3 linked regions of the Struthio camelus genome follow. The protein of the gene in region 1 interacts with the protein of each later gene in a biochemical or structural test. Links are inferred from orthologs where the notes say so. Each region holds a gene or a part of one and is shown in the gene's direction. Other genes may lie near its edges.

Evidence for each region. The genes of interacting proteins can lie anywhere in the genome.
Region 2: of the proteins of CDK2 (region 1) and NPAT, one has a biochemical effect on the other in vitro, tested with the Homo sapiens proteins (2 studies listed by BioGRID, with this or other methods). The link is inferred for Struthio camelus from reciprocal best matches to the Homo sapiens genes CDK2 and NPAT.
Region 3: the proteins of CDK2 (region 1) and MCM3 form a complex in vitro, tested with the Homo sapiens proteins (2 studies listed by BioGRID and IntAct, with this or other methods). The link is inferred for Struthio camelus from reciprocal best matches to the Homo sapiens genes CDK2 and MCM3.

The regions. Positions count from the first base shown.
Region 1 is NC_090969.1:687,844-698,118, reverse strand, and holds CDK2 (cyclin-dependent kinase 2), read left to right. Parts: upstream 1-5,350; 5' UTR 5,351-5,499; coding exon 5,500-5,615; intron 5,616-5,749; coding exon 5,750-5,827; intron 5,828-5,995; coding exon 5,996-6,116; intron 6,117-6,185; coding exon 6,186-6,356; intron 6,357-6,472; coding exon 6,473-6,574; intron 6,575-7,370; coding exon 7,371-7,574; intron 7,575-7,673; coding exon 7,674-7,778; 3' UTR 7,779-9,098; downstream 9,099-10,275. Other genes in the region: melanocyte protein PMEL, read right to left, coding at 1-47, 153-355, 469-556, 639-1,019, 1,253-1,963, 2,039-2,200, 2,275-2,415, 2,492-2,638 and 2 more. UniProt on the Homo sapiens protein: Serine/threonine-protein kinase involved in the control of the cell cycle; essential for meiosis, but dispensable for mitosis. Phosphorylates CABLES1, CTNNB1, CDK2AP2, ERCC6, NBN, USP37, p53/TP53, NPM1, CDK7, RB1, BRCA2, MYC, NPAT, EZH2.
Region 2 is NC_090942.1:205,614,022-205,624,045, forward strand, and holds the start of NPAT (protein NPAT), read left to right. Parts: upstream 1-5,044; 5' UTR 5,045-5,174; coding exon 5,175-5,211; intron 5,212-8,464; coding exon 8,465-8,583; intron 8,584-10,024. Other genes in the region: serine-protein kinase ATM, read right to left, coding at 70-234, 654-799, 2,191-2,303, 2,386-2,457. UniProt on the Homo sapiens protein: Required for progression through the G1 and S phases of the cell cycle and for S phase entry. Activates transcription of the histone H2A, histone H2B, histone H3 and histone H4 genes in conjunction with MIZF.
Region 3 is NC_090944.1:11,535,558-11,546,533, forward strand, and holds the start of MCM3 (DNA replication licensing factor MCM3), read left to right. Parts: upstream 1-5,996; 5' UTR 5,997-6,305; coding exon 6,306-6,386; intron 6,387-7,080; coding exon 7,081-7,193; intron 7,194-7,780; coding exon 7,781-7,989; intron 7,990-8,332; coding exon 8,333-8,463; intron 8,464-9,167; coding exon 9,168-9,406; intron 9,407-9,779; coding exon 9,780-9,888; intron 9,889-10,698; coding exon 10,699-10,852; intron 10,853-10,976. UniProt on the Homo sapiens protein: Acts as a component of the MCM2-7 complex (MCM complex) which is the replicative helicase essential for 'once per cell cycle' DNA replication initiation and elongation in eukaryotic cells.

The DNA.
Region 1 (10,275 bases):
CCCCAGCCCCAGCACCAGCGTGGTCCTGCCGGCAGCCGGAGCAGCACCTGCGGGACGCGGAGGGGCAGAGGCGGCTCAGCGCCGCGGGGGGTCCCGGCCCCGCCGCCCCCGAGGGGGCACGGGGACCCTCGCCCCCCCGGCCCTGCTCCCACCTCCGACGGCGACGCGGGTGCTGGCCACGGCCAGGCTGTTGCCGTTGGCCAGGGACACGTTGAGGCAGTAGAGGCCGGACTGGTTGAAGTCCTGGCGCAGGACGAGCTGGCAGCCGGGGGCCGGCTCCACGGCGCTGCACGTCCGCTGCTGCGCCGTCTGGCACTCGGCGTCCAAGACGACGGTGCAGACCTCCTCGGGCAGGCTGCCGGGCGGGCGTCAGCGCGGGCCCGGGGGTCCCGGCCCTCCCCCCCCAGCCCGGGGCACGGTCCCCTCGCTGTCCCCCGCCCCAGCTGGCGGTCCCCGCGCGGCCCTCACCTCCCCTCGCACGTCACCGTGAGCTCCACGCTGTTCTCGCTGCCCTCCGGCAGCACGGACGCGACGACGGCGACGTTCTCGATCCCCTCTGCAAGGGGCCGCGGGGTCAGAGCGGCGCCAGCGCCCGGTCCCCCCTGGTCCCCCCCCAGCCCCCCTGGCCCGGCGCTCACCCACGATGTCGAGCTGGGTGGAGAAGGTGCCGTAGCGGTACAGGACGCAGCTGGTCGGCTCGGCGCCTGGCGCCTGCCGCTTCACCAGCGCCAGCGGCTCCGCGGCGCTTTCGGGGGCAGAGGTGGAGGCTGCGAGTCCAGCTGTGGCTCCTGCTGTGGGTACAGCTGTGGCGCCAGCTGTGGTACCCGCTGGAGGTGCAACGCTGGCTCCAGCTGTGGCTCCAGCTGTGGCACCCACTGGGGGTGCAACAGTGGCTCCAGCTGTGGCTCCAGCTGTGGCACCCACTGGGGGTGCAACTGTGGCTCCAGCTGTGGCTCCAGCTGTGGCATCCATTAGGGATGCAACAGTGGCTCCAGCTGTGGCTCCAGCTGTCGCAGCATCTGCAGGGGAACCAGAGAGAAGAGGCTGGAGAAAGGCAGGGAGGGACGGAGCCAAACCCTCGGCGACCCCGAGGACGTGGCCAGTCACATGCTGCCCCGAAGGGGCCGGTCTCCCCCCGCGGTCCCTGCCCGGCAAAGCTGCGGGACCCGGGCCTGGACGCAGCCCGCAGCGGGACGGGGCGGCGGGGTCCCACCGCGGCTCCCTCCCTCCGGCGTCGGAGCAGGGCACCCACCTGCAGCCAGGGCTGCCGCCGCGCTGGCAGCGGGTCCTGCCGTGGGGGACGAGGTGTCCGCCGCGTCCCCGGCCGGGGAGGCCGAGGCGGGCAGCAGGGGGTCCGCAGACGCCGCGGCGGAGACGGCAGCGGGCTCCGCGCCGGCTCCTTCACCGGGCAGGGACGTGGCCGCCGGGGTGCTGAGCGCCAGCAGGCTGAGCCGCGTGCCGGAGGGGTCCGAGGGCTGCGCCGAGGCGGTGGCTGCTGGCGGCAGAGCGAGAGCGGAGGGGTCGCGGGGTGCCCGTGGGGCGCCCGGGGACCGGGGACGCCCCTTCGCCCGCTTACCGGTGCTGGGCGCCGCGGCGGTGCTGGGCGCGGGGCCGGCGCTGGTGGCGGTGGGCCGCGCCGAGGGCGGCGGCGGCCCCGTGGTGGGGTCCACGAGGGGCGGCGCGGAGCTGCCGCAGGGGCTCAGCGGGATGGCGGCCTGCAGCACCAGGCGCGGGGCGAAGGAGCCGGCCTCCAGGTAGGTGTGGGTGACGGTGGCGCTGCGGGAGATGAGGGTGCCGCTCCCGTCCCCGAAGTCCCAGGAGTAGGAGACGTCGGCGTCGCGCAGGTAGCCGCTGGGGTCGTGCAGCCGCACGGCGAAGGCCACGGCGCGGTTGCGCACGAAGCGCCCGGCGCCGCCGGCCGCCCCCTGCACCTGCGCCACGTCCACGGCCAAGGGCACCTGGTCTGCGCGGGGGACACGGCGCCGTCAGCGCGCCCGCCGCCCCCCCGGTGCCCCCCGCCCGCCGCCCCGGCTCCTACCCGTGACGCTGAAGCGGGTGCTGGCGCGGCCGAGGGGGATGAACTTCTGGCGGCCGCGGTAGTGGTAGACCACCACGTCCATGGTGTAGGAGCCGAGGGGCACGCCGGCCGTGCCCACCGTCAGCCGCGACGCCGGGCCGTCCACCACCTGCCAGTACCGCCCTGCGGGGGAGCGGCGTCAGCCCCGGCACCGGGGGCTCCGGGGGGCCCGGCGGCACCGGCGCCGGCGGTCTCACCCCACGTCCACCACACGTAGACGAATCTCCCGCGCTCGCCCCGGGCGCTGCGGGGAAAGGGCTGCCCGTCGGGGAAGACGCCGTCCGAGCCCTCGGGCAGCTGCTCCGGGAAGACGGGTTGGCCGCGGGCCACGCGGGTGCCTGCGGGGAGGCGCGGGGTGAGCGCGGCGGCGGCGGCGGGGGGCGCAGCGGGGCGCCCGCACCGGCCGGCGCTCACCGTTGACGGTGCCGTCGCGGCTCCAGACGACGCGGCCGTCGGGCAGCGCCGCCTGGCCGCCGGGGAAGCGGAGGGCGATGGAGAAGGTGGCCTTGGCGCCCGCCATGGTGGGCGCGTCGCTGCTGATGTCGAAGGTGACGTTGCCGCCTGCGGAGGGGCGCGAGGCCGGGGCTCAGCGACGGGCGCCGCCGGCCCCGACCCCCCCCCGCCCCGGCCCCGGCCCCCACCTCGCCAGCAGTCCCTCTGCCAGGGGGCCCCATCCTGCCAGGGCGGGTAGAGCCCCGCGTCCCAGCTGCGGAAAGGCGCCGGCGCCTGGCTCCACGTCTGGCTCCGCCGGCTGCTGCCGGGGCTCCGGCCGCCGGCTCCTGGGGGACAGAGGGGTGACGGGGCTCCCCGGCGGCCCCGGGCGCGCGGCCCTCGCGCCGGCCAGACGCCGCGTGATGGGCTGGGGCCAGGCCGCGCGCGGCGCCGGGGGGCCGAGCCCGTCACATGGCGCCGCGCGCTGCCCAAGCCCTTTCATGTGACTCTCAGCTGAGCCGGCGGCGGCTCCGGGCCCGGCGGGGTGGTGAGCCCCCCCCTCGCCGCGGGTGCCCCCGCTGTCCCCCGGCTCGCAGGGGCGCCCCGGCCATGCCGCCCGTCGCGGGCAGCGCGGGGTCCCCGCGACGCGCCCCGGCCCCGCTCGCACCCCCCCGCGGTGCCCAGCCCGGGCATCAGCAGGGGCTAATCCTGCTCCCCTCCCTTGGGCAGGGGGCCGGGGCCCACCAGCAGCCCTGTTAACTCCCCGCCGCCCCCCTGGCCACCCTGGGGAGCCCGGCAGGCCCCATCGCCGCCCGGGACCGTCCTGGCCACGGCCGCCCGGTGTGGGACTCTGGGTGCCACCGGGACCCCGCACCCATGGGCGAGCGGCCGCCCCGCTCGCGGCTCCCCCGGCCCCACTTACGGCGCTGAGCTGCGGCCAGGGCCAGCAGGGCCCCCAGCAGCGCGATCGCCCCCTGCACCCGCATGCTCCGGCCGTCGTCGCCTCCCGCGCTCGGGCACTGCCAGGGCAGAGAGGCGAAGGCGCCGGCGCCGGGGGGATAAGAAGGGGCTCTCGTTTGCATAGTCCCACCCCGCGGGGCCCGGCCCCCCCGCAGCGCCCAGCTGCCCTTGTGCGCGTGGGGCGCGCGTGCGGCCCCCCCGCCCCCGGCCGGCCGGTCACACGCTCCTTCCACGCACCGCAGCCCCCTCGGGGGGTCTGCTGCCGGGTCTGGTCCCGGCTGCTCCCCTCCGCGGGCCCTTTGCACCCGCGCAGGTGTCCGGCCGGGGCAGGGCGCCCGCTCGGCTCGCCGGGAACCGGGCTGGAGCCCGGCACCCCGGGGCCTCGGCTGCGGTCACGCAGCGCCGCGCGGCCGGCCGGGGCGGCCACCTGGCCCGCTCTCCGCTCCCTGCAGGCCGCTGCCCCGCGTGGGCGCGCCGGACTCCTCCCGCGGTTTCCAGCCCCTTCCCCTGCGCCCAAATCGCTGGCGACGCCACCGCTGCCCCCGAGAGCGGGGCTCCGCGCTCAGAGCCCGCCGCGGCCGCCCTGGCGCCCAGCTCGAGCCGGGCCCTCCTCCTCGGTGACACCGCTGCCGGCTCCGTCCCCTGCCAGGTGGCTGGCCGGGCCGGAGGGGAGGTGGCAGCATCGCCCCGGCCGCGGCCGGGGACCCTGCGCTGGGCGCACCTGGGGACGGGGACCCCAGCCCCGGCCATGGGTGACCTTCGCCAGCACCCAGCACGACCCCGTCCCCAGGCCACGGGGGAACCGCGGTTAGAGGAGCACGGCCCTGGCCCCGGGCTGTGGGGGTCCCCGGGCTGTGGGGGTCCCTGGGCTGATCCCGCCCTGACTGCGTCCCCGGGCCGTGGGGGACCCCGGGCTGTGGGGGTCCCTGGGCTGATCCCGCCCTGACTGCATCCCCGGGCTGTGGGGGACCCCGGGCTGATCCCGCCCTGACTGCATCCCCGGGCTGTGGGGGACCCCGGGCTGTGGGGGTCCCTGGGCTGTGGGGGTCCCTTGGCTGATCCCACCCCAACTGCGTCCCCGGCCCGTGGGGGTCCCCGGGCTGTGGGGGTCCCTCGCCAGATCCCACCCCAACTGCGTCCCCGGGCTGTGGGGGTCCCCGGCCAGAGCCCAGCATGTCCCTGTCCCAGGAGGACACCCCCCCCCAGGACAAGCCGGGTCGGCTCGGGAAGCAGCTGGTCCGGGGGGGCTCGGCCCGGCCTCCCCCCCCCCCCGGAAAGGTCCCCGCGTCAGCGGCCTCGGGGCGGGCCTGTCCCTTTAAGGGATCTCCCGCGTCGCCCGGCGCGTCGGCGGCAGCCCCGGCCAATGGGGCGGCGCGGGGGGCGGGGCCGGCGGAAGGCGGGAAGCGGCGGGCGGGCGGCGGCCGCGGCAACATTGTAGCGCGCGGGGGGAAGCGGCGGCCGCGAACGTTCCATCCGCCCCGCGCGCCGGCCCCGGCCCCGGGACCCCCCGCCCCCCCCGACCGGCCCCCCGGCCCCCGGGACCCCCTGCACCCCCCCCGCCCTCCCCCCGGCCCCGGGACTCCCCGACCGGCCCCCCGGCACCGGCCCCCCCGGCACCGGCCCCCGGGACCCCCTGCACGCCCCGGACGGCCCCCCCCCCGGCACCGGCCTCGGTGACCCCCTGCACCCCCCCTGCCCCCCTCGGGACCGGGACACCCTGCCCCCCCGGCACTGGCCCCCGGGACCCCCTGTACCCTCCCTCTGCTCCCCCCCGGGATTGGCCCCCCCACCTCCCCCCGGGACCGGCCCCCCCCCGCATCCCCTGGGACTGGCCCCCAGGACCCTCTGCACCCCCCTCCGGAACCTCCCCGGGACCCCCTGCACCCCCCCACCCGGGACCGGCCCCCAGGACACCCTGCACCCTCTCGGCACCAGCCCCCGGGACCCCTGCATCCCCCCCGGGAGTGAGCGCCAGGACCCCCTGCACCAGCCTCCCGCCGGTGCCGGGCCCGGCCCCCACCCGCCGCCCCATGGAGAACTTCCAGAAGGTGGAAAAGATCGGCGAGGGCACCTACGGCGTCGTCTACAAGGCCCGGAACAAGGTCACGGGCGAGGTGGTGGCGCTCAAGAAGATCCGCCTGGACACGTGAGGCAGCCCCGCGCGGCGGGCCGGGGCGCGGGAGGGGCCGCGGCGCCCCCGGGCAGCCCGGCCCGGCGGCTCGAGGGGCCCGAGGCGGCGGCCCAGCCCGCTGAGCCCGGCCCCGGTGGCTTCACCCGCAGGGAGACCGAGGGCGTCCCCAGCACGGCCATCCGCGAGATCTCCCTGCTCAAGGAGCTCAACCACCCCAACATCGTCAAGTAAGCGGGGCGGCGGGGGGCCCGGGCGCCTGGCGGAGCCGCCCCGGCCGCGCTCGCAGCCGGCCCTCGCCTCTTCGGCCGGCCGGTTCGGGGGCCGGCCGCGGGAGCGGAGCGCCCCGCTGCCTGGCCGCGGCGCCGGGCCCAGGCCTGCACCCCGCTCGCTTCCAGGCTGCTCGACGTGATCCACACGGAGAACAAGCTCTACCTGGTCTTCGAGTTCCTGCACCAGGACCTGAAGAAGTTCATGGACTCGTCCTCCATCAGCGGCATCGCCCTGCCCCTGATCAAGGTAGGGCCGCGGCGGGCGGCGGGCTGGCTCCCGGCGGCCCCGCGCCCACCGCCCGCCCTCCGCCCGCAGAGCTACCTGTTCCAGCTGCTGCAGGGCCTGGCCTTCTGCCACTCCCACCGCGTCCTGCACCGCGACCTCAAGCCCCAGAACCTGCTCATCAACGCCGAGGGAGCCATCAAGCTGGCCGACTTCGGCCTGGCCCGCGCCTTCGGGGTGCCCGTGCGGACGTACACGCACGAGGTGAGCGCCCCGAGCACGTGCCCGGCCTGCCGGCTTCCCCGCACGGCGGCGGGAGCGACGGCTTGGGCCGGCCCGGCAGGGCGGAGGAGCCAGCGCCCGTTCGCCCCTTTCGGCAGGTGGTGACCCTCTGGTACCGGGCCCCCGAAATCCTGCTGGGCTGCAAGTACTACTCGACGGCCGTGGACATCTGGAGCCTGGGCTGCATCTTTGCCGAGATGGTGAGCGGCCCCCCGGGGCGCCCCTGCGCGGGGAGAGGCGCCGAGCGCGGCCCGGCCTGGCTCCCAACGCTCCGCAGCGGCGCCGGTCCCTGTCCCCTCGCGTCCAAAGGCGCCCGGCGCCCTGGGGACGAGGCACGGGTGCGCCCGGCGCCCTGGGGACGAGGCACGGCCTCGCCGGGCCGGTTCTGCGCGGCCGCACGCCCGGGGCCGGCAGCCCTTGGCGTCACCGCGGCGCGGGGAGCCGGCTGACGGACACCGGCGAAGAAAAGGGGCTTTGTGGGCTCCCGGGCCCCGGAGGAAGGGGCCGCGCTGGCCGGGGCGAGCGGGGCCGTCATGTGAGCCCCGCCGCCCGGGCTGGGCATCACGCGGCCGGGCAGGGACACGTCCCCGGGGCCGGCACCCTGCCCGGGGCCAGGGCCTGCGTCACGAGGGGCCGGCGCGGGAGCTCACGCGGCGCCGCGTCATGAGGGGCTGTTTGATCTCTGGCCGAGGGTTTGCCCCTGTCGGGCAGCCTGGCCCTGTCTGGCACCCACCAACGCGTGCTGGTGGGGGGAGCTTTGGTTGGAAAGGGCAAGGCGTCCCGGGGCGGAGACCTGCCAGTGCGGCGCCCGCCGGCTCTCGCCCCGTCACTGGGCGCTTTGGGGAAGCCAGGCGGCTCCGTAACGCCCGCGGGCCCGGCCAGCCCCTGCCTCGCGTTGGGGTCAACCCGGCCCGGCCCGGCGCGGGTGCTGGGGCGACGGCACCGGCCGCAGCCCCAGTGGAGCCCGGCTCTCCACGGCTCTGCCCTCTCGCCCAGATCACCAGGCGAGCCCTGTTCCCCGGAGACTCGGAGATCGACCAGCTCTTCCGCATCTTCCGGACGCTGGGCACCCCGGACGAGGCCATGTGGCCGGGCGTCACCTCCATGCCCGACTACAAGCCCAGCTTCCCCAAGTGGGCCCGGCAGGACTTCAGCAAAGTGGTGCCGCCGCTGGACGAGGAGGGGCGGAAGCTGCTGGCAGTGAGTGAGGGACGCGGCGGGTTGGGGGGGGGGGGGGAGCAGGGTCCCGCGGCTCCCGCGTCCCCGGCCGCCCCCTCACCGCCCCCTTCTTCTCCCCAGCAAATGCTGCACTACGACCCCAACAAGCGGATCTCGGCCAAGTCGGCGCTGGGTCACCCCTTCTTCCGCGACGTCACCCGGGCTGTCCCCCACCTGCGCTTGTGACGCAGCCTGGCCCCAGGGCTGCCGCCCCTCCTGCTTGCACTTAGCCCTCCGGGCTCTGCCGGCGCCGAGCCGGAGCCCTCGGGACAGGACCGGGCAGCCTCCCGCTGCCCAGGCAGCGCCCGGAGAGCGGGGGCCGCCTTCCCTGCCCGCGCGCACGCCCCCCCGGCCCCCCGCCGCGGAGGCGAGATGCTGGGAAGCACCTCCGGCCCCGGGGGCAGCGCCGCCGAGGCCCCAGCCCGGGGCTCAGGGACCCTCTTTCCCCTCCGCAACCGCCCTCCGGCCCCGAGCGGGGTCCGAGCCCCCGGGGAGCGGAGCAGGTCCCCGCGTGGGGCCACCGGCGTGCAGCTCTGCCGCTTGCAGGCGGGCGCGATCCTGCCCGGGCCGGGCCTGCTCCGCTCTGGCCCCACGGAGGCCCCCGTCTCCCCTCCCCTGGACTTCAGGCACTTACAGCCCTTCCCCGGGAGACGTTTCGGGCTGCGGAGCTGCGACCTTGGGGACCCCGTCCCGGCTCGGGGCTGCGCATCGCGCCAGGCTCTCGCAGAGGCGAGGCGGGTTCAACCCAACTCCCTCCCCGATGTATTTATTTCCCTGGAAGCAGCCGGATCTGTCCAGGGCTGCTCGCACCCAGCCCTGGGGACGATGGGGACCGTGCGGGCAGCCCGGGCCAGGGCAGCTCCTGCCACTGCCCTGCTCCCAGCCCCGGCCTGGCGGGGAGGGCTGCGACCAGGTCCCGGGCAGGGAAACCAGCCCCAGCTCCCTCGGCGCGAGGGGAGAGGCCTTTGCCCGCGTTCGCCTTCGTCCCCCGGGCGCAGGGGGTCGAGGGAGGCAGCGTCTTCGTCCCCAGCGTGTCCTGGCTTCCTCCTCCTCCTCGGCCGCTGTCTCGAAGGCCGGCCGCTCCTCGTCTTAGCGGGGCTGTCCCGGCTCTCAAGGCTCCTCGGGCAGCACCGGGAGCCCCGCGGCCGGGCGCGCTTTCCCCCTCCGAACGCTGGAAACCGCCAGAGGAGGTGGAGGCCTGGGCGGGGGTCGCTACCAGCTCGCTGCCTGCTGCAATATTTGGGAACATGAAGATTCAGATGTATTTTTGGACTGGAGCGAATAGGTATTTATGAGGCTGTGGTAGCAGAGTTCTTTTGTAGAGCGTTTCTTAGAGAAGCACCTTGGAGCGTTTTGTAACAGAATCCCTTTACAGCCGTCTCCGAACCCGCCCTGCCGGGGTATTTTTGTCGCTGACTTTTGTAACTTCCCGGCTGTGATTTCTTACCAAATGTTAAAAATATTTGTGTAACTCCTTTAAAAACCATTAAATATTCCTAGTTCGTTGCCGGGTGGTGGCTGTGCGGCGGCGGTGGGGCTGCGGCTGGCGCCAGGGGCTGCCGTTGGCCTACGCGCGCCGTGAGCCCCTGCATTCACCCCTTGTACGTGCACATATATATTCACACGGCACAAACCCTTGCCCTGCACCTTCCCCTATAGACGTGGCCATAGGCACCCTGTGTGTGTGGCTCCCCCCCCCAGCCGTGCTACGCGCCTGGCTTTCCTCCCGGCGGGGCAGGGCCCCCATAGGCACCCTCGTCGCTAAATGACGCCCGTATACACCCCTACGTTTATACATGGGCTCTATACGTGCCTCCGCGCCTATAGGGTCCCATGGCTCTGTGGCCACCCGACTTGTACCCCTATATGGCCCCCCCCATGTGTCTCTGTGGGTCTAGAGGACCCCTATGCATGTGCGTGGCTATATGGTCCCCCTCTATATGTTGCTGTGGGTCTATATGGCCCCACTACCTGCCCCTGGGGCTCTGCAGACCCTATGTGTCTATAGGACTCCCCCCATGTGCCATGGGCCCCACATGCGTTGCTGTGGGTCTACGTGGCCCCTGTACGTGCCCCTGGGGGTCTCCAGGGCCCCCCAGGTGTGCCCCATGGCTATGTGCCCCCCCCATACACATTGCTGGGGGTCTCCAGGGCCCCCCACGTGCCCCCCTGGTGCCACGGCCTGCCCCACACCTGCCCCTGGGCCTCGCTACCCCACGCCCCCATCGGCCCCACAGTGGGGCTGCCCCACGGGACACCCCCCACCAAGGCCTTGGCCCCGCCCACAGCCGCAGGCCCCGCCCATTGGTGCCCACGCCCCACCTCTGTTCTGGAGCGCTGCCATTGGTCCGGATAAGCCCCGCCTCTGGCGAGCCCCCGCCCCCCCGGGGAGGGCCCTCATTAAGTGAGGTAATTGGGAGCTGCGGTGGGGCGGGGTCAAGGGTCACGGCTCCCAGCGGCCCCCGCGCTCGGCGGGCCTGCCCTTCCGCCCCTCCGTGGGCTGTCAATCATGGTGGGCGCCGGCTCTGATTGGCCGGCAGGGAGGCGGTGGGCGGGCCTGCCTTGGGCAGCTCTGGGCCCTCGGGGCTCGCCCGCGTCAGTCATCGCGGCTCTGGCCTCGGGTTGGCTGGGCTGGGAGCCTGCTGCCTTGCGATTGGGCCATGGGGCAGCTCCCCGCGTTCTG
Region 2 (10,024 bases), on another chromosome or scaffold:
AACTAAAACCCATCTAAACATACTTTCATAATAGGAAAAGACACTCGTAAGTAGGCTTAAAAATGTTACCTGACCACTGCTGCTGGGATATCTCACACCAGTATCTCCTTACTGAAAGGATATCCTTTAGGAGTATACTACTACAGTCAGCTCCGTAAGCTGCACAACTTGTTGCATCTCTCATGATTTTCAAGACATAATTCAGAAGTTCCTGACACTTCAGTCTGGGTCCTCCTATGTAAAGAAACAAAGTGAGCATTGCAATTAATCCAAAGCTTGCATAACAAACCCGGAATTAATTGCTTGCAAAATGATCATTTCCATATTCACTATTAAAAAAAAAATGCAGTTCAGAAACAGTTTTGCTGGAGATCATATTTTTAAACAAACTGTCTCTAAAAACAAAATTACTTACAAGAAGAGAAAGGATACACCAGTTATAGGCAAAGCAAATAATTAAAAAGGCATTGTCAACATCAACAAGGTAAGTCATACAAAGAACTAATGCAAATAAAGATATTTAATTTGTAAACAACTGAGAGTGGGCAAGATGAACCCCACCCTGACAACTTGCTTCAGAGCAAAAATTCACAGTTGAAAGTAAAGCACCAAATAAAAGAATCAGTGATTCTACATGGACATGTATTACTGACTTTTATTAGCACGTCTGATGAAGTATTTGACCAAACTGCCAATCTCTTGCATCTTTTTCTGTCTGGAAGTTTGCGTTGAAACAGATACATTTGGTTTTGTCAGTCTGAAGCTTTCCATCTCTTTCTGGAAATATTTCTGCAGGACTCTTCAAAAAAAACACCAGAGACATTAATCAAGAATCTGCACGTTTTTGACCTAAGTAAAATAAGTAAACATTGTTTGCACTTAGAATTCAAGTGCTTGCTCATTTAGCAATTCTGATTCTAAAGCTCTGTTAAACACCAAAATACATTACAGCGTAACCATGATAGGAATAGTTTATAAAAGGAGCTGAGATGATCCAGAAGGAACTCGGATAAGAACTGAATATTCCTACATACTTTGCATAATGCTAAACATACAATCCATGATAACGAAAAAAACAATATCGTTATTTATGCTGCGACTTATAGCACAAAATAGTAAGAAATACTTTTTACTGGCTGTATTGGGGAAAACCTTGAAGTCCTTCTGCTTTTAAGCTCACTTACAGTCGACTGGATGTTTTAACTGAATATTTTTGGACTTAATAGATATGCACTTCCTGAAAAAATACAAACCTTCCAGCAGTGTGGAGAAGGTATTATCCATTTATTACAATAACAATTCTCTATCATTTAAAGTTAATATGTAATACAAATAGATTAAACGTTTTACTGGCTTTGTTGCAATTTCTGTAGATTTTCTGGCTTGTTATTTGTATTCAGTTTAGAGTCTGGCCATCTCAAAAGCAACATAAGAAATTTACTGAAAAGTTCTTACAGTATTTTGCTACAGGTGTAAAACAAGACCCATTCAAATGCCATCCAATTAAAAAATATTCTGTAAATCTGCCCAGATGCCAATCTGTAAAAACTAATACTTCAGACACACTTTAATATGAAAACTGCAGTGGGCCCAACTGCTCTAAAAACTTATCCCGCTCCCACTCAGTCCAATCTTGTAGTACACCTAAAGCAATTATATCAAAGATGGGCCTCTACAAACCTCACAGCATGACCTCTTTAGCTTATAAGGCACAGTCCTTCTGCTGTGTCTTGAAGAATTCAGTTACAGAAAAATTTTAAATGAGATACTTAAAATCGACATATGAACTATAAATTGAAAGTCAGATGCAGAGGATATTTTTCAGTAACAGAAAGTAACTATTATTTTTGCAAGAAAAGCTAACCACCTATTAACAATCAGTTTCTCAGGAGACGGTTCTAGTGTTTGTACATTTACAACGTGCTGTGTGCCCCTGCATCTTCTGTAAGTGGAAAGTGTTGTACTCAGATGATTGATGCATTATTTGGCTATTTTAGATTTATTTCTTTTAGAGAGTAACATAAGTCATTTCTTGACTGACAAGAAGCCTCAATCAATCCGCAGGAAGATAAGCATTTAAATAAGCCTGATAAACAAAATAGTGATGTTCCATGCAAGAAACATGACCTTTCACCAAAAAAAAAAAAAAAAGAAGAAAAATGCTTTGCTCTGGACAGTAAAAGAACCTACCCAAATACAGCATCCCAGCTGAGTTGCTTTGCTTGTTTAGAATCAGAATTCCGGTCCAGTTGGAGAACTGTTTCAGAATCACGGAGCAGTCGCTTGAAATTTTCAATTTCTTTCTGAAAATGTATTTCAGGAAAAAAAAGGTTATTAATCATTCCCTTCATTGAGAATGATATATACCAGAAGAAACCTTATTACCCTTCGCTCTGTAGCTTTATCATTCTCAAGGTGACGGCAACAAACGAGCAGATCATGTAACACAAGACTCATGGTTCAGTTTAACAGGACAGTCATTTGCATCTGCAAACAGAAAAAAAGGATGAAATAAATTATTTTATTTAACACAGAGCCAAGTCAATCAGTTCAAAATTTTGAATTTTCAATATATTGCATTTCCATGTCAAATACAACAGCTTTACTTCACTCAAAAGCTCATTCCTCTCTGGGTTGGTGCTATTGCTCACAAGACAGAAGTAGAAAGTGTCATGTCAAGAATGCAATCTATTCCGAAGAGCAGTAGTTGTGGACAAAAACAGAAAAGGGTCCTTTCACATGACTGACTTCCTTCTTTTTAAGGCTAATGAAAGAGCAGAGAGTCGATGAGACAATACAGACTGAAACATGAACGGTAATGAGAACACACTCGGCTCTATGTCATTTTAATCAGGCAAACAGCACTAACTTTCAGGACATAGCAGTTATCAGAAGCACTTTTAACCTGATGAGGAAAAGGCAGCTCTTTGAAAATAAAACTTTCTTCCACTCTAACCTTCTCTATTATACAGCTATGCACCATTATATTTACAAATGCCTCTGGACTCCAAATACCACAAGATGCTCAAATATCAACGACAGGAGAAAAATACTTTTTTGCTTCTATTACTACTTAAGATTATGCCCTACCTCTTTTAACATACGTCCGAATCAGATCAACCTTACATTTCTGGTTTCCAGAAAATTATGTTGACGCAGATCATGACAATGAAATTGTATGCAGCGTCCATGCTTCTCCTTGTACCCTTTCCCTTAAACTAGCCTCAGGACAAACTCTTATCTGAAAAACAGAGATGGACATGCTGGAAGTAACACCAAGCATATGCTGCTGAAGCTGCAGTATGAAGCTGAGAACTGGCATACATGATGCACATCACTGGCCCCGGAACACTTAAGTAAGAATATATAAATAACCATTTAGCTGAATAAGGCAGTTAAAACTTTAAAGATCTACCGTCTTATACAAACATCATCTTGCTTTCATCTTCTTTGGATTCAACAGAGATCACGCTGAGACAAATGGGTTTCTTCATATATGTCTGGAAACCACATTTTAATAGCAAATTATTTTGACTGCTTTATAATCCACGTGATTACTTTGACCGCATTAAAAACCGAGGTGAGGAGAAAAAGGACAGAAGAGTTGACCAATCTGTGGAATAACCAGGGGCAGGGGTCCCTGACATATACCCTTCCCAAAGCAAAAACAAAACAGCAGATTTCAAATGTTTGACGTTTATGCCATCTATACAGCGCATCACAGGAAAAAAAAATACTGAGCACGTTCTTTGACAAAAGGTCAAACTTGACAGATAGTCCTGTGCATAAAACTCTGAATATTGAGAGCTCTTGTTCCTCTAGAAGAGTTCGAACCTCTGTCTTTAATCCCCTAAGATCATCTTTCCATCTTATCACAGTGCTAGGATTTATGGGAACATCACGACTTGAATGGCCTTTTTCCTGTCACATATTCATGTGCCCACCTTCCTGTTCTCTTCCTTGTAAATCTGTGTCTTAAAGGTGACCAGAACTGAGAACTCAAGACAACCGTGAAACACAACGTTAAGGCACCACCATGTAGTAGTGGCAGCTAGCAGCTAAGATGGATGGAGACAGTCAACACGGAAATGGAGCTGAGTAAACATGACCAGAAAGGGATGGTGGCTAGTTAGGTATTGAGGAAAAGGAACCTATGGCAAGCTTGAAAGGCCTGCTCTGGCGTACAACTAAGCTCAGTTAAGCAAGGAAGCATTCCTCTACTAACTTGCTACTTATGCCGAAAATAACCGAAAGCAAGAAACAACATTTCACATGCTAAAGGCTTCTAAAACATTGATGGGATGAAAAATTAAGGGTTGACTGAGAACTGTGGCAACACGGGGTTGTATGTTGTAGGGACTGGGGCTCAAGAAGAAAGAGGGCCGCGTCTTCTTTTACTGGCATTTAAAGGTATTTTAACTACCATGACAACAACAGTGACAAGTTCCTAACACTGTACGCACTTGCCGTTTCTCTTTGCAGCCCAGTCGCCAACTACCAAATCATGACGGCACTCATCCCCTTTCAAAAAAAAAAAAAAATACCTGGGACAAGTGGGACAAGGAAGGAGCCCTTTAAAAACAGCAGACACGCACCGAGCGCTCCTCACCGAGCTACGCTACAGCGGCCCAACCGCCACCTCGCGGGTAACCACAGCCGACCACCCCAGCCCGCCGCCAGGCGAGCGCCGGGCCGCCGCCGCCGCCCGCTGCCTCCCCGCCGCCCGCCACCCGCCGCGCGGGCCGCCCCTCAGCACCCGCGCGGGGACCGCGCCTCGAGCAGCCCCTCAGCCGGGGCGGGGGCAGGCATCGGGAGGGCACGGACGGGCAGGAGCAGGCCCACCTCTGAGCGGCGTCAGGGGAGCGCAGCGCAGCGCGGGCGCGCGGCGGCGGCTTAACGGCCGGCGGCGGCGCGCGCCCCCCTCGCGGCGGCGGCGGCGGGCGAGGAGAGGAGAGGAGAGGAGAGGAGAGGAGCGCAGCGCAGCGCACGTGTGGGCGGCGGCAGCGGCGGACCTGGAAGCGGATGCGCGGCGGCGGGTTCCGGCGGAAGGGGCCGGGCGGGGCGCTGGCTGGCGGAGTTTCCGCGCCTTGCCCTGGGTGGCGGGGCGGCCGCGCCGCGCCTCGGGGGGCCGCGTTCGCCGCGCCCGCGCCGCCTGCCCCTCCGCGCCGCGGGTCATGCTGCTGCCGTCCGACGTGGCCCGGCTGGTGCTGGGTGAGTGCGCGCGGGCGGGGCGGGCACCGCCGGGCCCGCGGAGGCGGCCGCGACCGCGGCCGCGCAGGGCGAGGGGAGGGGAGAGGCGAGGAGAAGCGAGGAGGGGGCTCCGCCGGCCGCTGACAGGGCGCTCGGGGCGGCAGGCGCGCGGAGGCAGCCGCTGCGCCCTTGAGCCTCGGCCGGCGCCGGGCCGTGGCCGCCCGCCGCCGGGGATGTCACCCGTGTCCGCGGCGAGGCGCAGTGCCTGGGCCGCCCCGGGGCGGTCGGGCGGCCTTGGGCCCCGCTTTTAGCGGGGAGCGCGGCCGGTTCGCCGGCGGCTTTCGGCCCCCGCGAAGGCAGCGGCGGGGCAGGTGGAGGCGCCACGTTGTGCTCGGGCGGGTGCTGCGTCGGGAGCCGCCCGGGAGCGGCGCTGAGGTGACTCCCGGGAAGGCCGGTGGGCTCTGCCGCCTCCTTGTGCGGGCGGGGGCTGGTGGGCGAGACTGGGGGGAGCCTCTGCTCTCAGCACCAATCCCGGTGGTCCAAGAGGCCAGATGAGAACAGGTGAGGGTTCAGCTGGTTTTTCTTTCCCTGTTTCCGTGAGCCGCGAGGTCAGATCGAGAACTCCCTTCTGTGGTGCGCGCTGCGTCCGTGGGAAGCATAAAACAAGTGTTTTCAGGACCTTGACAGCAGGGAGGATAAACTGCTAAAAAGACTTTACGCTTGCAATGTTTGGTCACAGCCAAAGATGAGAGCAAGTGGCCGTGGATTGGAAGTAGGACCCCTATATGTAATAGGTACGCTGTCAGCAGGTACTGGTCCAGGTCGCTAAGATTTCCTGGCAGTTTTCATAGCAAGATGCTGTTTTCAGGTGCACAGACAGCCTGGGCAGATTTTGCCAGTCAAAAACCAGTGAGGCTGAATCTTTTCTTTCGTCTGTCTGCAGTTCTATTTATTTTTAAACGCTACCTGAAACGTTTGTTGTTGCTTTTCGAGAACTGAGCGTAACAACAGAAACATTGTTTTTATTATTGCAAAGTAATAGGATTTTTTTCAAATTCTGTGCATTGTAAAAGAACACTTACAATTTGGCGCGGGATATCTCTTTTTGGCCATTTACTTGCTATACTTTTCGATAAAATTTTGGTTAAGTTGTAAGTTTCTTAGTAAACAGTTTATCTCACGTGCTGCGTAGAGACTTGTAGATAGAATAAAAATTTTGAACGTTTCGCGTGTATTGAGGATGCTCCGTCCTATCTTGCGTCTGTTGTGGCGTAGTGCATGCAGTAGTCCTAGAAAATCTCTGAGCAACCCAAGATTGTAGAACAGGATATTCTTAACAGTTATTTTTGTCTTCTAATAGCGATTGCTCCTCTCTGAGGCATCTGAATTCTGAGCAGATCAACAGGCTTCCTAGCGCAGTTCCTCTTCCTTTTTTTTTTTTTGTTTTTCTCTAGCAAAGTCTTTTTGGTGCTGTGAGTGTTGATGAGTATTGATTTAAGAAACAGAACTAAAATGGTAAGATGAGCTTGCCTGTAGAAAAAGGCATAAGCAAATTTATCGTTTTCTAGGTAAAGAGTGAATGAGTACTGTAAGGTAGACCATAGGTCTTCACATATATTAAGATAGAACAAAATGTTGAATACTTTCTAGTTCAGCAGGCACTCTTCCTTTTGTGCCTCTAACTTGTTTTTGGTAATGTTGAAGGTTGTATATGATTCTGTTATTGTAATGTACGTGCACAGACAATTTAAGTTCAGTCGCCGTTATCTGCAGGAAATTGATGTATGTGCCAAATAGGCCTGTGTGCTGGCATTCAGTCATCCTTCGCAATAGGAGGCTCAAGAAAGAAATTGCAACTGTTTTTTAGCAAAGATCCAGAAGATGGGTTTGATCTGTGCTGGTATGGCTGTTCTTACAGTCGAACTCCCATCTAGCTTAATGCCCTGTCTGTAATACTGGTCAGCAATGGATGGTACAGCAGACAGGCATAAGACTGGCATGTAGGTGTATTTCCCCCAGTGTGCCCTCAGCTTCTAGCAATTTGTGGTTTGAGGATTTTCTAACAAAATGTATTTGAAACATTAAATATGGCAGCCCTCTCTATTCCGCAGGTGCCAACTACATTTTGTCCCATATGGGCTAGCTCGTACATCCTAATGAAACTCTCAGCAGTTATTCTCAAACTGTGTTTAACTTTGAAGTTTATTTGTCGGAGGCCTGTGAGTGTGAAAGCTGATCTACTTTTTCTAGCTATGCTTGGATCTGATAAAAGATATTATGTCTTCATGTGAACTTAAAGGCAGGATTTTTCTATGGACTTTCCTGAACTGAGGCAGGCTGTTTTGGGGTTCTGTGTGAATATGATTAGGTATGTGTATTTTAACTCTTTAAACGATTGCGTATGCAGTTCTGCTACAGATAAGAAAGAAAAGGCACGATATTTTGTTTTATGGCTCTTTTGTTCTGTAATCCTTTACTCAGATTGATCTAGCTTTACCTTTTAGCGTTTAGACTATTTGAAGATTAAAGCGGGATTTAAAATACCTTAAAAGAGCATATTAACTGAGGACTGGGATTTTGAAAAAGTGAACTTTTTCAGTATAGTTCCTGGTAAGATAACTACTGAGTCTTGGGGTAGGGTATATAAAGTGTACAAGTGTACACTAGAATACCTATTAAAAATGAAAATTACGGTAAGTAGAAAAACAAAATACTGATTTTGTAAAAATAATTTTTATATAATGTCATTTTTGGAAGAAATCTAATGCGCTGTCTTAACGATGCATATGTTCTACCTGTTCTGAAGCTGGAGAATTTATGGAGAGTTATTGCTGCACAGCAATGCATTTTATTAATACAGTACTATAGAATTCTATTTGTTTATAAAACTAGATGTTTATAATCAAAACCCATGTGTGAGTTTATTCCTGACTTAAGAAGTTGATATTTTCTTTCTTGTCTGTACAGTGCTATGTGTACTAACGATCAGTCAGAAATTGTTCATATTGTCTCACTTCTAGTCTTGAACAGTTTGTAAATCCAGTACAATGTTAATAATATGTGCTCTTTCTGGTTTTAACTATTAAAGGAATACGTTGCAAGATAGGTGTTCTTTCATAATGACTTCAGTTTCCTTATCTAATGCATGAATCCTTATCTAATTGTTCCAACGTTATATCATATAGTTGGTCGTATTAATGCTTCAATACCTACCAAGCACAACATGCAGAAATAATGAATAAAATAGCAAAGTCTTCTGTCTGATTTATTGCAGGGTATTTACAACAGGAAAAGCTTTTAGCTACCTGCCGTGAATTTATTTTGGAAAGCTCAGATTTGAAAGAATATGCAGAGCACTGTACAGAGGATGGGTTTATTCCGGCCTGCTTGCTGGTGAGTTTGTATTTGTAACACAGCAAGTTAAATTGTGTTACAGCCGCGGAAGAGAAGCCTTTTTTTCCCCCCAAAAAGAGTTTTCAGAGTTTTTTTCAGAATACATATGAACAGTGTAACAGTTGCTTCTCAAATGGTGCTTAAGCTGTTTAGTTTGATGGTCATCTCTATTTCTCAGCATCTTTCAATATTTAACATTACTAATAAATAGTTAAGAGGAAAATATGCCAATTGTGTTCAGCATGTTACATTTAGTCTGCTTCATTGTTTTCAAGATTGATATATACAAGGGTGTTCCAAGCATTTTAATTGATTTCAGGATTGCTCTAGTGATTTATTGAAGATCACTTCCTTTTTTTTTAGATACAGCAGTCGGTAATGTTCTCTTTCATGTAAATACTAATTTAGGTAAGGTGCCTCAGCTTTATTTGAGCGTGTCAAAAATTGGTGAAAACAGCTATGTTTTGATTCAGCTTCCCCTTTAATCAGTATGATCTGCTTTGTGCCAGATGAAACGTGGAACTTTGGGCATGGGTATAAATACAACGTGCAGCTGCGTACGTAGATAGGTGCATATAACTACAGGACAACTTGATGCTTTGCACTTTCAGCATATATGACCTGAGATTTTTTTAGTTAGTAACAAAATTATAGGTTTTGGATATTGCTATATATCAAACTTTTGATATTTGTATGTGTATCTTCTTCCCGTTTTGCATTCCATTCTTCTAACGTACCACTCAATCATGTAGTCTGGGATTTTGTCCACAATATTGAAAGTGTGTGGAACTCTTCTGAGATCAGTGATCGTGATACACGTATGAGCATGGAACTTCTTATTTCGTTAACAAGTGTCTAGTCATCTATACTTTGGGAGCAGTGGGGGAAGGGAATTGAGAACCAAGCTATGGCCAGGAAGAATTAGACTAACAACTGTAAGTAGAAAGGATTTATTCGTATTCTTTAAGTTTTTGATTCTCTTCCTTTTCTCAAGAGATACCTTTTTCCTATTTTTCATAGAAAGGTGATGATATTATAGCATAAAGAAAAAAAACTCACTGCAGCGCAAAATACTTGCAATTCAGTAAAGTGCTTTTGTCAGGCATGTGCTGTAGGAGTTGCTACAAGTAAACAAGACAGAAAGGTACAGTAAACGATAGCAATAATTTGAAAATTTTATTTCTCTGTTTCACCTAAAATAACAGAACAAATAAATATGAAATGAAAGTTAATAATAGTAATTGTACTTTAGGCAACAGCTCTGTTCAGGTTTGCATCTTTGTGCACTTTGTTCCAGGATGGTGCATATTTGTTAACCCAGGGTAGGTGCTCTTAATCTTATTCTTGTGTCTTTAGTCCATAAGAACAAAGACAAGTCAAGCTGAAGTCATGCAGATCTGAGTGCTGTACCAATGGTGTGCAACAAGATCATACACTTAAA
Region 3 (10,976 bases), on another chromosome or scaffold:
AGCTAGATCAGTTTAAAGATTTACCAGAGTGCATGGGAATGGCAAATACTTAAAGAAAATTACGTCAGAAATGCCTGAGTTTGGTGCAGATGCGATCGGGTGAAATTATCCAGCCTATGCTATGTAAAAGGTCAGATGAGAGGATTAAGAAGGATTCCTCCGGTATTAAATTATTTCTTCCACATTTGGCCCTGAAGCGGTGAGAGTCAGGATCACTCTTTCCTCTTGCAAGAGCAAATTCCACGGTTTGAGGTCAGCTACTGCAAGGACAGCTAGATGAGAACACGGAACGGACAAACCCTTTTTTACTCCTTGGAAAGCAAAGATTTAAACGGACAAAAACATTTCACAGATCATCTCATTTCCCACATTGTTTCTATTAAAAAGAAGCAGATTTTTTGTTTCTATTCAATACGTTCAATACATTTTATTACACTTCCACTTTATTCTAAATATTTTTGAAGCATCACAGAAATCTTAACCCAAATGTGCCGCTTAATGACAAAGTGACCCTCTCTTCTATCTGGAATATGCTTTCCTCATTTTTGGAGCTGTGGGTGAACCACAAGCCACTTAACTGCGCAGCTTACTCCTGCACTCCTTTCCCTTTCATGGGCTAGATAAGGTTGCTCGGTATAACGGGAAGCTAATAGATAGTAACTTGACTGGCTTGAAAATTAACTTTCATTTAAACTAAGGGCAAAATAGAGCCACGGAGAGATCACAGGGTATGTGCGTGTGAAAAAGCAGAGATCTCTCCAGTGGAACAGGAAATAAATAAAGACTATCAATAAAGCGGTATCAGAAACCTAGTGTACATGGGGACATCTATGCACAGCAATATAAAGAAATCTCACACCATGGGATTCAAGCATTCGCAGAGGTCTGAGGAAAAAAAAAATCCAGTAGGTAGTGATCAAAGTCATTGCTATTACAGTCGGATGTGGCCAGCCTGGTGCATTTTGCAGGAGAGCTGGCTCCCTACCCCATGCAATCTCAGCAAGGCCTTCCTCCTGCTCGGCAGTCCTTGGAGAAGCAGGAAAGTTTGCTAGCCAGTGCGGAGCAGCTCTGCGCCTACGTTCATGACCTGGCTGGTGGGAACTCAGGTGCTCCTCTGGCTCTCTCCTCCGTGGTACCTCCATCTCCCAATCTTATTTCAGCCCACTGCAAAGCCTCGTTGAAAATGTCAACGTTAGTTCTTCGTAGGCAAGCTGACAAAGCGTGGGCTAGAGGAGCAGACAGTGAGATGGATTGAGAGCTGGCTGGATGGCAGAGCTCAGAGGGTTGTGGTCAGTGGCATAAAGTCTAATTGGAAGCCTGTAGCTAGCAGTGTCCCCCAGGGGTCAATACTCGGTCCAATCCTGCTCAGCTTATTCATCAGTGACCTGAATGAAGGGATTGAGTGCACCCTCAGCAAGTGTGCTTTGATGATACAAAACTGGGAGGAGGGGCTGACACACCAGAGGGCTGTGCTGCCATTCAGAGGGACCTGGACAGGCTGGAGAGATGGGCAGAGAGGAACCTCATGAAGACCAACAAAGATGTGCAGGGTCCTGCACCTGGGGAGGAATAACCCCATGCACCTGGACAGGCTGGGGGCTGACCTACTGGAAAGCAGCTCTGCAGAGAAGGACCTGGGTGTCCTGGTGGACAAGTTCACCATGAGCCAGCAGTGTGCCCTTGTGGCCAAGAAGGCCCACGGTATCCTGGGGTGCATTAGGCAGAGCGTTGCCAGCAGGTGGAGGGAGGTGATCCTGCCCCTCTCCTCAGCCCTGGGGAGGCCTCACCCGGAGTACTGTGTCCAGTGCTGGGCTCCCCAGGACAAGAGAGACACGGCACTCCTGGAGAGAGTCCAGTGGAGGCCTACAAAGATGATCAGGGGACTGGAGCATCTCTCCTCTGAAGAAAGGCTGAGGGAGCTGGGCCTGTTTAGCCTGGAGCAGAGAAGGCTCAGGGGGGAATCTCATCAATGTGTATAAGCATCTGAAGGGAGGGTGTCAAGAGGATGGGGCCAGTCTCTTCTCCGTGCTGCCCAGCGATAGGACGAGAGGCAACAGGCACAAACTGAACCACAGGAAGTTCCGTCTGAACATGAAGAAAAACAACTTTCCTGTGAGGGTGACTGAGCACTGGAACAGGTTGCCCAGAGAGGTAGTGGAGTCTCCTTCCCCGGAGATATTCAAAACCCGCCTGGACATGATCCTGGGCAATGTGCTCTAGAGGACCCTGCTTGAGCAGGGGGGCTGGACTAGATGATCTCCAGAGGTCCTTGCCAACCTCAACCATTCTGTGATTCCTGGGAGCTGCACACCCTATTTGTTCCTCACTGATTATGATCGGCCTGATTTTCTGCCTGTACTAGCCTGGCTGGATTTCTGCCTGGAAGCAGGTTTGCAGCTTTGCAATGTTATGCTATTGCATCTCCACTTTCCCTGCCAAGAACACGTTACCCCTTCACATTATCCGTAAAGGCTCAAGAACAGAGCAGAGCAGGCAAAAATTCCACTGCTGGTCACTGCCTGACAGGCAGATGTAACTGCTATCAATGCCCATTTCTACCAAGCTGTAAATAGGAACAGTTAAGATATTCTGGTCAACACCGCTTGTGTGTCATTCATCCATGGAATTTATTCCTACACCCACTCTTGATTCTTTCAGGGTTTCGTTAATTGATTAAAGAATTAATGAAAGCCTTGCTAAGATCTGAGCTCTGCAGCCCAGACCTTCTATGTATTTAAGTGCTTAATTCCCATTGTTTTCAGTGGATAATAGGTGCCTAAATATCATTATGGATCTGTGCTTCACTCTTCCTAATAACAGCTGAAGTGTGACAGGACATATGAGAGAGAATTGCCTGGTGATCTGTCCTTAGAAAGTCTCCTAGGGAGTACTAAAAGGTAGGGATTTGCACAAGCCCCAGCAACGAGCACTTGGTTTTGTTGTTCATTTTAATTCTTCTCAAAATGCTTGTTTATTTTTAATGTTATCTATGGTAAATCTGGAATTTCCTGATAGCTATAGAATTAGCCGGTGCAAAATTAAGAAGCCCTGTTTGGCTGTCTTGGCTGAAAGTGACCCCTGGCAGATGTGTGTTTTGTGTGGTTCTCCTCCACTTGGTTTTATCCGAGAAAGTCTTTGCTAATAACATGAGCTAAAGGTGGAAGGTCTCCTCCCCACTCCATGTGGTAGTGTGGTTTTTTCGCCACGTCGTGAGCCGGCCCGGAGAACTGGCCCACTCACAGCCTCCCTGTGTAGCACGCTGGGGTATCACTGTCTCTCATGAGAGTGGAGACAACCCTGGAGGAGGCTAGCAGGGATGGCCATTCCAGGATCGTCACCAAAGCCCCTTGCTCACAAGCCCATAGCCTCGGGGTGAGACAGAGACAGTGTACCCATCCTGAAGGCCTTTTGTGAGCCTTCGTTATTTGGTGCAGCGTGCTCCAAGACTCTGGGATAGGCAAGGGCCACTGCAGTGCTTACATGATATAGGACAGCTGTAGACTCTACGCTGAGAGCGTCATGCTGCTTCCTCTGCCCCAGGACAGAGGCAGAGAAGCTTCTGCCACAGCTCGGTTTCTGCTGCAGTCTCCATCTCTCTTCATCCCTTTGTTCTCTCCGGCCTGACCTGTTCCAATTAATTATTCACACAAGCACCAGAGCAGCTGCTATAGGGCACTGTCATGAATAACAACAGGCAGTTATTTTTAGCCCTAACTCTTGTTACTTTGAGGTCAGGAGCGACGACGGTTCCTGCTGACTCCCTTTCAGCTCTAGCTGGCCTGGGAAGAGGGTGTCAAAATGTTAGTCCTGGGGGTCCAAACCGATCCCACAAGCTGGGGCAGAGCAGGGTGTAGAAGTGTGGGCCGAGCACTGCTCTGCACGCGCTGGTGGCAGTGGAGGGCAAGCAGCGCTCCCTTACCTTGCTCCGGGTCCAGCGAGCGCGACTCCAGAGCAGAGGACCCCATCCTCCTCCCCTGCTGGGAGCTAGGATTCGTTTTGAGAATAAGACACCTAAACATAGGTGAGATCACCATACTGTCTGGATATGGGTATCTGACTCTGGAGATGAATCCCACCCTGGTGACTCTGGCACATATAAAAGCACTAGCTTTCAGCTGGATTCATGGGTTGCTTTGCAACCAGATCCACAGGTGCCTGAGGAACTGCCCTTCAACTCAACAAATCCCTTCGCCTCCATCAATCTTTTTACCTGTGATAAAGCAAGTCGGCTGCATTCACTGATGGATTCAAGGGACTGTCTGTTGCAGAGTGAGAAAAACTGTTTCAGAGAAGATTATTTCATGTCAGGTTCTGGTAACATATACAGAACATATTATATTTCATTTAGGGACTTATACAGATGATTCCTCCAGGCACTTTATACAATTACAGCTGACCTGGCCACTTATATATCATTCTTCCTAATACCCAGGGCACGCGCTTCTCGCGTTCTTCCTTTCATGGCAGGGGTTGATAAATACACACAATACGTTACCCGAAATGTTTGTAGTGCTTATTGTATTGTATTATGTTGCCTTATGGAAAGCAGAATAAGTATCTTTCTATCTCTTCTGATAGTGCTCAGATGACTCTGGTCCCCAGTAGAGCTTAGATCAGCCCCAAAGGTGCTCTATCTTGCACTGCCAGGGGCTTTCTGAGGCTCTTTTACCAGGCCAGAAAGTCTCTGTGGTACAAGTACGGGCACACCAAAAGGCCTCATCCTCCTGCCATCCCCACGGAAGTCAGTGGAAATAAAACCAAAAATTGTCCAGAAAATCACGGAAAGAGATGGATTTGAGGGGAGTCTGAAGGAAAATGGGTGCTGTGGCGGCACACAGCAGCAGGAAGGCCATTCCAGGTGCAGTGTGCAGCTCAGGAGGTAATAAAATAGCCTGGGGGGGAGGGGAAGAGTGTAACAGAGCACTAAATCCTTTACTCCTGCCAGCCTGCCACATTCAATACTCTGTCGTTATTCCAGAGGAGGACTGGGCCCAAAAACTTTAGAAGAGCTGAAGTTGCACTTTGATGTGGAATTACCTGAAAAATCTGTGGGGCGAAACTCCTCAAGGACTCGGGTTACATATACCCTGAACCACTCACGATAGTTACTAACCACATTTCCAACGCGTTTAGAGGGAGAGGATCTAGAGACATAAATGGTAAAGGGGAAACAGGGTAGCTATTGTTTCCTGCGCCTTTGTTCCAGGGACTTTGCAAGCTCGTGAACTGAAGCTGCTCCCTCTAGTGACATCAAGCAGGAGGAATATTTGAGGCAGCATTTTACACAGCTAAACACAATCCTGAGAGAGTATTTATTATCCGCCCAACTACAACTGTTTTCAGTTATAGCACTATCTAGGGGACACAGGCAAGTTTGCATGCCTTGCTGAATAAAAGAGAACGTTTCTGCTTTTTAATCCGTAAACGATTTTTAATGATCGGAGTATCAGAGTTTAGATATTATTTTTAAGGTGTACAAAATAATATTTTTAGCGGGGTATCAGCGAGTTTTTATATACGTGACACTTAAGAGGTGCAACTGTCCCCCTTTTTCTGTGATTCCTGCCTGCAACATCTCTCAAAAACATGCGTAAAGCTCGCCATTTCTCTGCAAAATGCGCAGTATCTGTGTTGTTTTTTTTTTTTTTTTTAATCTCAAGCCCCCAATTCCTGGACTCACGTCAGCAAAGAAGAATTTAATCTGCCGTCTCAAAGGAAAAAGAAACGCCCACTCCCCACATGCTTCGGGGAGAAGACACCCGAAAACGGGTCTCCTCAAAATCTGAAAGAAAAATAAAAAGTGAAAAAAGTTAGAAATTAAAAAAAGCAAAAACAAAACAACAAACCTCCCGTGGTTCTCAACCCGCCGGCGGCTTCCAGCCCCTGGCAGCGCGCCTCCCGCAAGCGCGCGAAATCCCCCCTCGCCCATCTCCCCATCCGCGCGCTGATTGGCTGGCGCTGTGGCGCGTCAGCTCCCGCGAATTCCTGCCCCCCTCACATTGGCAGGAGGCTCCGCGACGTCAGGCCGCGCCGCCCAATGAGGAGCGGCGGTGGGAAGGAAGCGGAACACCCCCCCCCCCCCCGCTTCCCCGCGCTGTAGCCCTGCGGTGGCGGGAAAACGCGTCGGATTTGGCGCCAAGGGCGGAGCGTGGTCGGGCGCGATCGGCACCGGGTGGCAGCGGCGGAGCGAGGTCTGCGGCCCCGGCCCTTACCCGGCGCGGTTTGTGCGTCCCCCTCCACCCTACCCCACCGCGGCGCCGTCGGGAGCCCGGCGGCCCGCCCGGCCTCCCGGTGCAGCGGGGAGCATGGCGGCCCCGGCGGGCGCGCTGGAGGATGCAGAGCTGCGAGAGGCGCAGCGCGACTACCTGGATTTCCTAGACGATGAGGTGAGGCCGGGAGTGGGGCTGCGTTGGGGTGTTGCGGGGGGGGTGCTCTGGGGCATTTCCCTCCTTGCCCCTGGGGTGGGGGACCGCCTGCACCCCTCCATCCTCCCCCCCCCCCCCCCCCCCCCGCAGTCCAGTTATGGGATCCAGCAGCTGCAGCTCAGGGGCAGGCAGCAGCCGGCCTCGGGGGCTCTTCCAGCCTGGCTCCTTGCCTTGCTGCAGGCTGAACTTGGGGGTCCCGCTCCTGGGAGCTTGGCAAGGTGCAGGGCTGCTTTTCCCTTTAGATGTGAAGAAGAGCCAGCAGTGAGTGCGTATGCTGCCCGAGTGTGCTGGTACGGCCCAGGTGTGGGTCTGCTGAGCAGCCTGGGTCAGCCCATTCAGATGGACTAAAGCAGGCGTATCTGTGTTTAGATTAAATGCAAACTCAGCGCTATCTCGGACAACCCAAATCTGATGAGGATGATCTTTAAATACAAGAATGTGAGACAGCGGTGAAGTCCTTGGGAAAGGAGGGTGCTTTGCAATATGTGGGAAAAATTGAAAGTGCCCTAATGGGACCCGTTTCTTATGATAAGCTGCTTTGACATTGGGGTCAGCTTCTTTAAAAGGCTGCCAGCAAGAGATGCTTTGCAGAAATTGTCTCCTTAGGACTGTGTTTGTAACACCTGCTCATGTAAAATGGGTATTTCTTCTGCAGGAAGATCAAGGGATTTACCACAGCAAAGTCCGCGATATGATCAGTGACAACCAGTACCGCCTCCTTGTCAACATCAACGACCTGCGGAGGAAGAACGAGAAGAGAGCTAACCGGTTAGGGGAGCCTCTGATAAGCTTGGATGGGTGTTGAGTGGGATGGTGGGGTGCATCACTGGCACCACGCAGATATAGAAGTTTAACCCGTTTTCTGTACGTCTTGTTTGCAAGGAAGGGCCGGACCTTGTCCTGTGGACCACAAGAATGCTGGTTCCCTTGTAAAGATGGGCCTTGATGTTCATGCCTTCCAAAGCTAGCAAACCCTTGATTTGGTAAAAACTATTAGTTCTAGTATTTGCAGCAAGTTGGGGTTTTTTGCATGGTATGAAGCGTCTCCTTTTAGGATGCTAGTACCATTTTGGACCAGGCTTTCAAATCCGTTCAGGGACATGTGAGGTTTTGCAGATATGGTTGGACAGTTCTGCTCCTACAGTCCCTGGCTGTTGGTGGGAGCTGAGCTGACCAGCAGAGGTGATGAGCTTTGTCTTTTTTTGCCTCAGCTTTCTAGTAAGCTTTCAGAGTGTGTGGAGGCCTGGAAAAGCTTTGCACATTTTCCCAAATGTACTGATGGAGGAAGGCAGCACGCTAATAATGCCTGGTCCTTGCTACTGAGCTGACGACATCATCACCTCCCCCTGTTTCAGGCTTTTGAGCAATGCCTTTGAGGAGCTGATCGCCTTCCAGCGTGCTCTGAAGGATTTTGTTGCCTCTGTTGACGCCACCTATGCCAAGCAATATGAGGACTTTTACATTGGGCTCGAGGGCAGCTTTGGTTCCAAGCACGTGTCGCCCCGGACGCTGACTGCCTGTTTCCTTAGCTGTGTCGTCTGTGTGGAGGGCATCGTGACTAAATGTGAGTGTGGATGTGTGGTGGGGGAAGAATGGGATACCTGAGGTATAGCTATGCTGAAGAGCAGTGGTTTGAGGTTTTTGTTGTGGAGGGGCTGTAGCTCATCCAGGAGCTGAGGTGCATCTTGGCAACATGCATAAGGGGGAATACGGGACTAGATACAAGTTCTGAATGTTGAGATGGCCTTTGATGTAACGAATTTGGCAAATTCTGGCACGTAGCAGACCCTGTCTATCAACAGATGTCCCAAGTGCAGTTCTGAGTGGAAATTGCATGGGGGATTGCTGGCTGAATATAGAGGGGGTTTTGTTGGCCCTAGCTCTTTTCTCTTTTCTTCCAAACTCAGGTTCTCTGGTTCGTCCAAAGATTGTCCGGAGTGTCCATTATTGCCCAGCTACTAAGAAAACTATTGAGCGTCGCTATACGGACATGACATCTCTAGATGCTTTCCCGTCCAGCTCTGTGTACCCTACAAAGGTGAAGTGGTCTAGTGAGAAGTGTCAGCAAGTCCCTCTGGGGAGAATACGCTGTTTGTGAGCTGAGGGTCTCAGATCCCTGTGGATCTCTTTTTCCTCTGCCTACATAGTCCATGGAATAGAGAAAAGAGTGTGTGATGTGGCAAAGCCCGAGAGCTACTAGGAACATTTAAAACGAAGTCTCTGTTAGTCACACAATCACCAGACCAGCTTTCGTTTGAGAAGCTCAGATGTTAGTTATGATCTTGCTTCTGCTATAAGATGCTTAGCTGGTTTTCTTAAGGGTTTTCAGCCAGTTTTCTTGCTTTTGGTACCTGGGTTAGTATGGGCAGATCTGTCTTCTCCTGGAGGATATATGCATCCTTGGGCAGAATGACTGGTCTGTATTTGGGAGTGCAAGAATGTTGACCTGAGCTGTGACCTCAGTGCACGTACTGTTTTCTGCATGGGTGGTGTTATTGCTGCCTACATTAGCTACAGGGCTTGGAGAGAGAGAGTGTACCAACACTCCTGGGTGCTAAGAGTTAGATAAGGAGGCTGTGGAGCTGGTGAACCCCAGGCTCCGGCAGTCTTTATTAAGCAACCATTTTCAGTGGTCTTACGTGTTTTGGATGGTGCAGCCTGTCTTCTCGCCACTCAGCTCACCCATCTTTCCAGCGCTCCTAAAAAGTGATGCTAGTCTTATTCTTTTCGTTCCTCCTCTAGGATGAAGAGAATAACCCCTTGGAGACAGAGTTTGGCCTCTCAGTCTACAAGGATCATCAAACCATCACCATCCAGGAGATGCCTGAGAAGGCACCAGCAGGGCAGCTGCCACGCTCGGTGGATGTCATTCTAGATGACGACCTAGTGGACAAAGTGAAACCTGGGGACCGCATCCAGGTGGTTGGGACATACCGCTGCCTGCCAGGAAAGAAAGGGGGTTATACTTCAGGGACATTCAGGTGAGTCTCCTTCTGGCCTGAAGGACAACTCCAGGCTGTTCACACTTTTCAGTAGGGTCATGTCTTTGGCGGGTGAGGTAGGGCAAGTAGGTAGCCATCACAGAGCTGGGTTTGCTACTGGTTCCTTAGCATCACTATTGAATTGTAAAGTCCAGCTGTGTGTGGAGTGGGTTGGACACTCTTAAAGATGCTGCGTTGCCTGAGTAGTCCAGTTAGACAAAGACAGAGGAGGGTTATAGCTCTTGGAGCTTTCCAGCCCTCCGTGAGGACTTTCTAGAGCAAATCACCCTGTGGAAGTTTCTATTGCATTGTTGTTGTGACCTGTAGGCCTCTGGGGTTTGCACACCTGACCATGGCTGTGTTTCTTCTCCAGGACTATCCTCATTGCCTGTCACGTGAAGCAGATGAGCAAAGATATTCGGCCTCTCTACTCTGCTGCTGATGTGGCCAAGATCAAGAGATTCAGCAAGAGTCGCTCCAAGGTATTTAAATGTTACTTACGAATATGTCTTCTAGGTAGGCTTGTGTCCAAACATGAGGTTTCAACTGTAGCGGTTTTAAAGCTTGGCACGTGGTTAAGGAGCTGTCTTGTTCTTGAACGGGCTTTGAGTAAACTCTTCCCCCCTCTTAGCAATGTTGCTGGATCTTCCACTTACTTTCTTTGCATTTCATTCACAGTTCTATCAGGTTCTGGGAGGGTTCTTTTTGTTTATTTTGACTTGGTTTTGCTGCTTCTGTAATACTAGTAGAGCTTCCTGATTGTTGGCAGCTTTGTTGTGTGCAGTTGTGAAGATGGAAATCTGTGTTTCCTGAATCTGCTAGCCGGTTGCCAGAGAAATAGTCTATAGAAGAAATATCTTCCTCTCTTCTTCCTCAAAACTAAGAACAGAGTGATAGCACAGTGTGGATCACTGATGCTCTGAAAGAAAACGTAGCAAAATCACAAGTCTTGGGCTAAGAAGGGAAAAGGAGCGTACCCCAGTCTGATCCTATGATCTAGCCTTTGCTTTGTATCTCGGAGAGGATGGTGCCCTGCACTTAAAGGGTTTGCTGCTTCCAGTGGTTGCTGGGGTTATTGTGATGTAGGGCATCAGAACCGTGGCCAGGATGATTGAAAGAAAACTCCAACAAATGTCTTCTGCTGTATAAATAACTTTCACTGCTGTGGTTCTGTGGTAGCAATAAACTCCTTTCTTGCATGGGTGTGCTCAGATAGAGTTGTAAAGTATTACTCCTTGTTCTTGTTTGCTGCCGTCTATCTTACGGGCTATGCTTTGCCTCTTCTGCCTTAGGACATCTTTGACCAGCTGGCGAGATCTCTGGCTCCCAGTATCCATGGACATGAATACATCAAGAAGGCCCTTCTCTGTATGCTGCTTGGAGGAGTGGAGAAAGTCCTAGAGAATGGGAGCCGCATCCGAGGAGACATCAACATCTTGCTAATAGGTCTGGAGATGTTGGGCAGAGGAACCCTAAGCTGGGTTTTGGGTGGGGGGGGGGGCGTGGTGAGATCAAGGAACTAGTATTCGCTTTCCTGGCTTGAGTTTCATAGACCTCAGGAGGTCCCTAG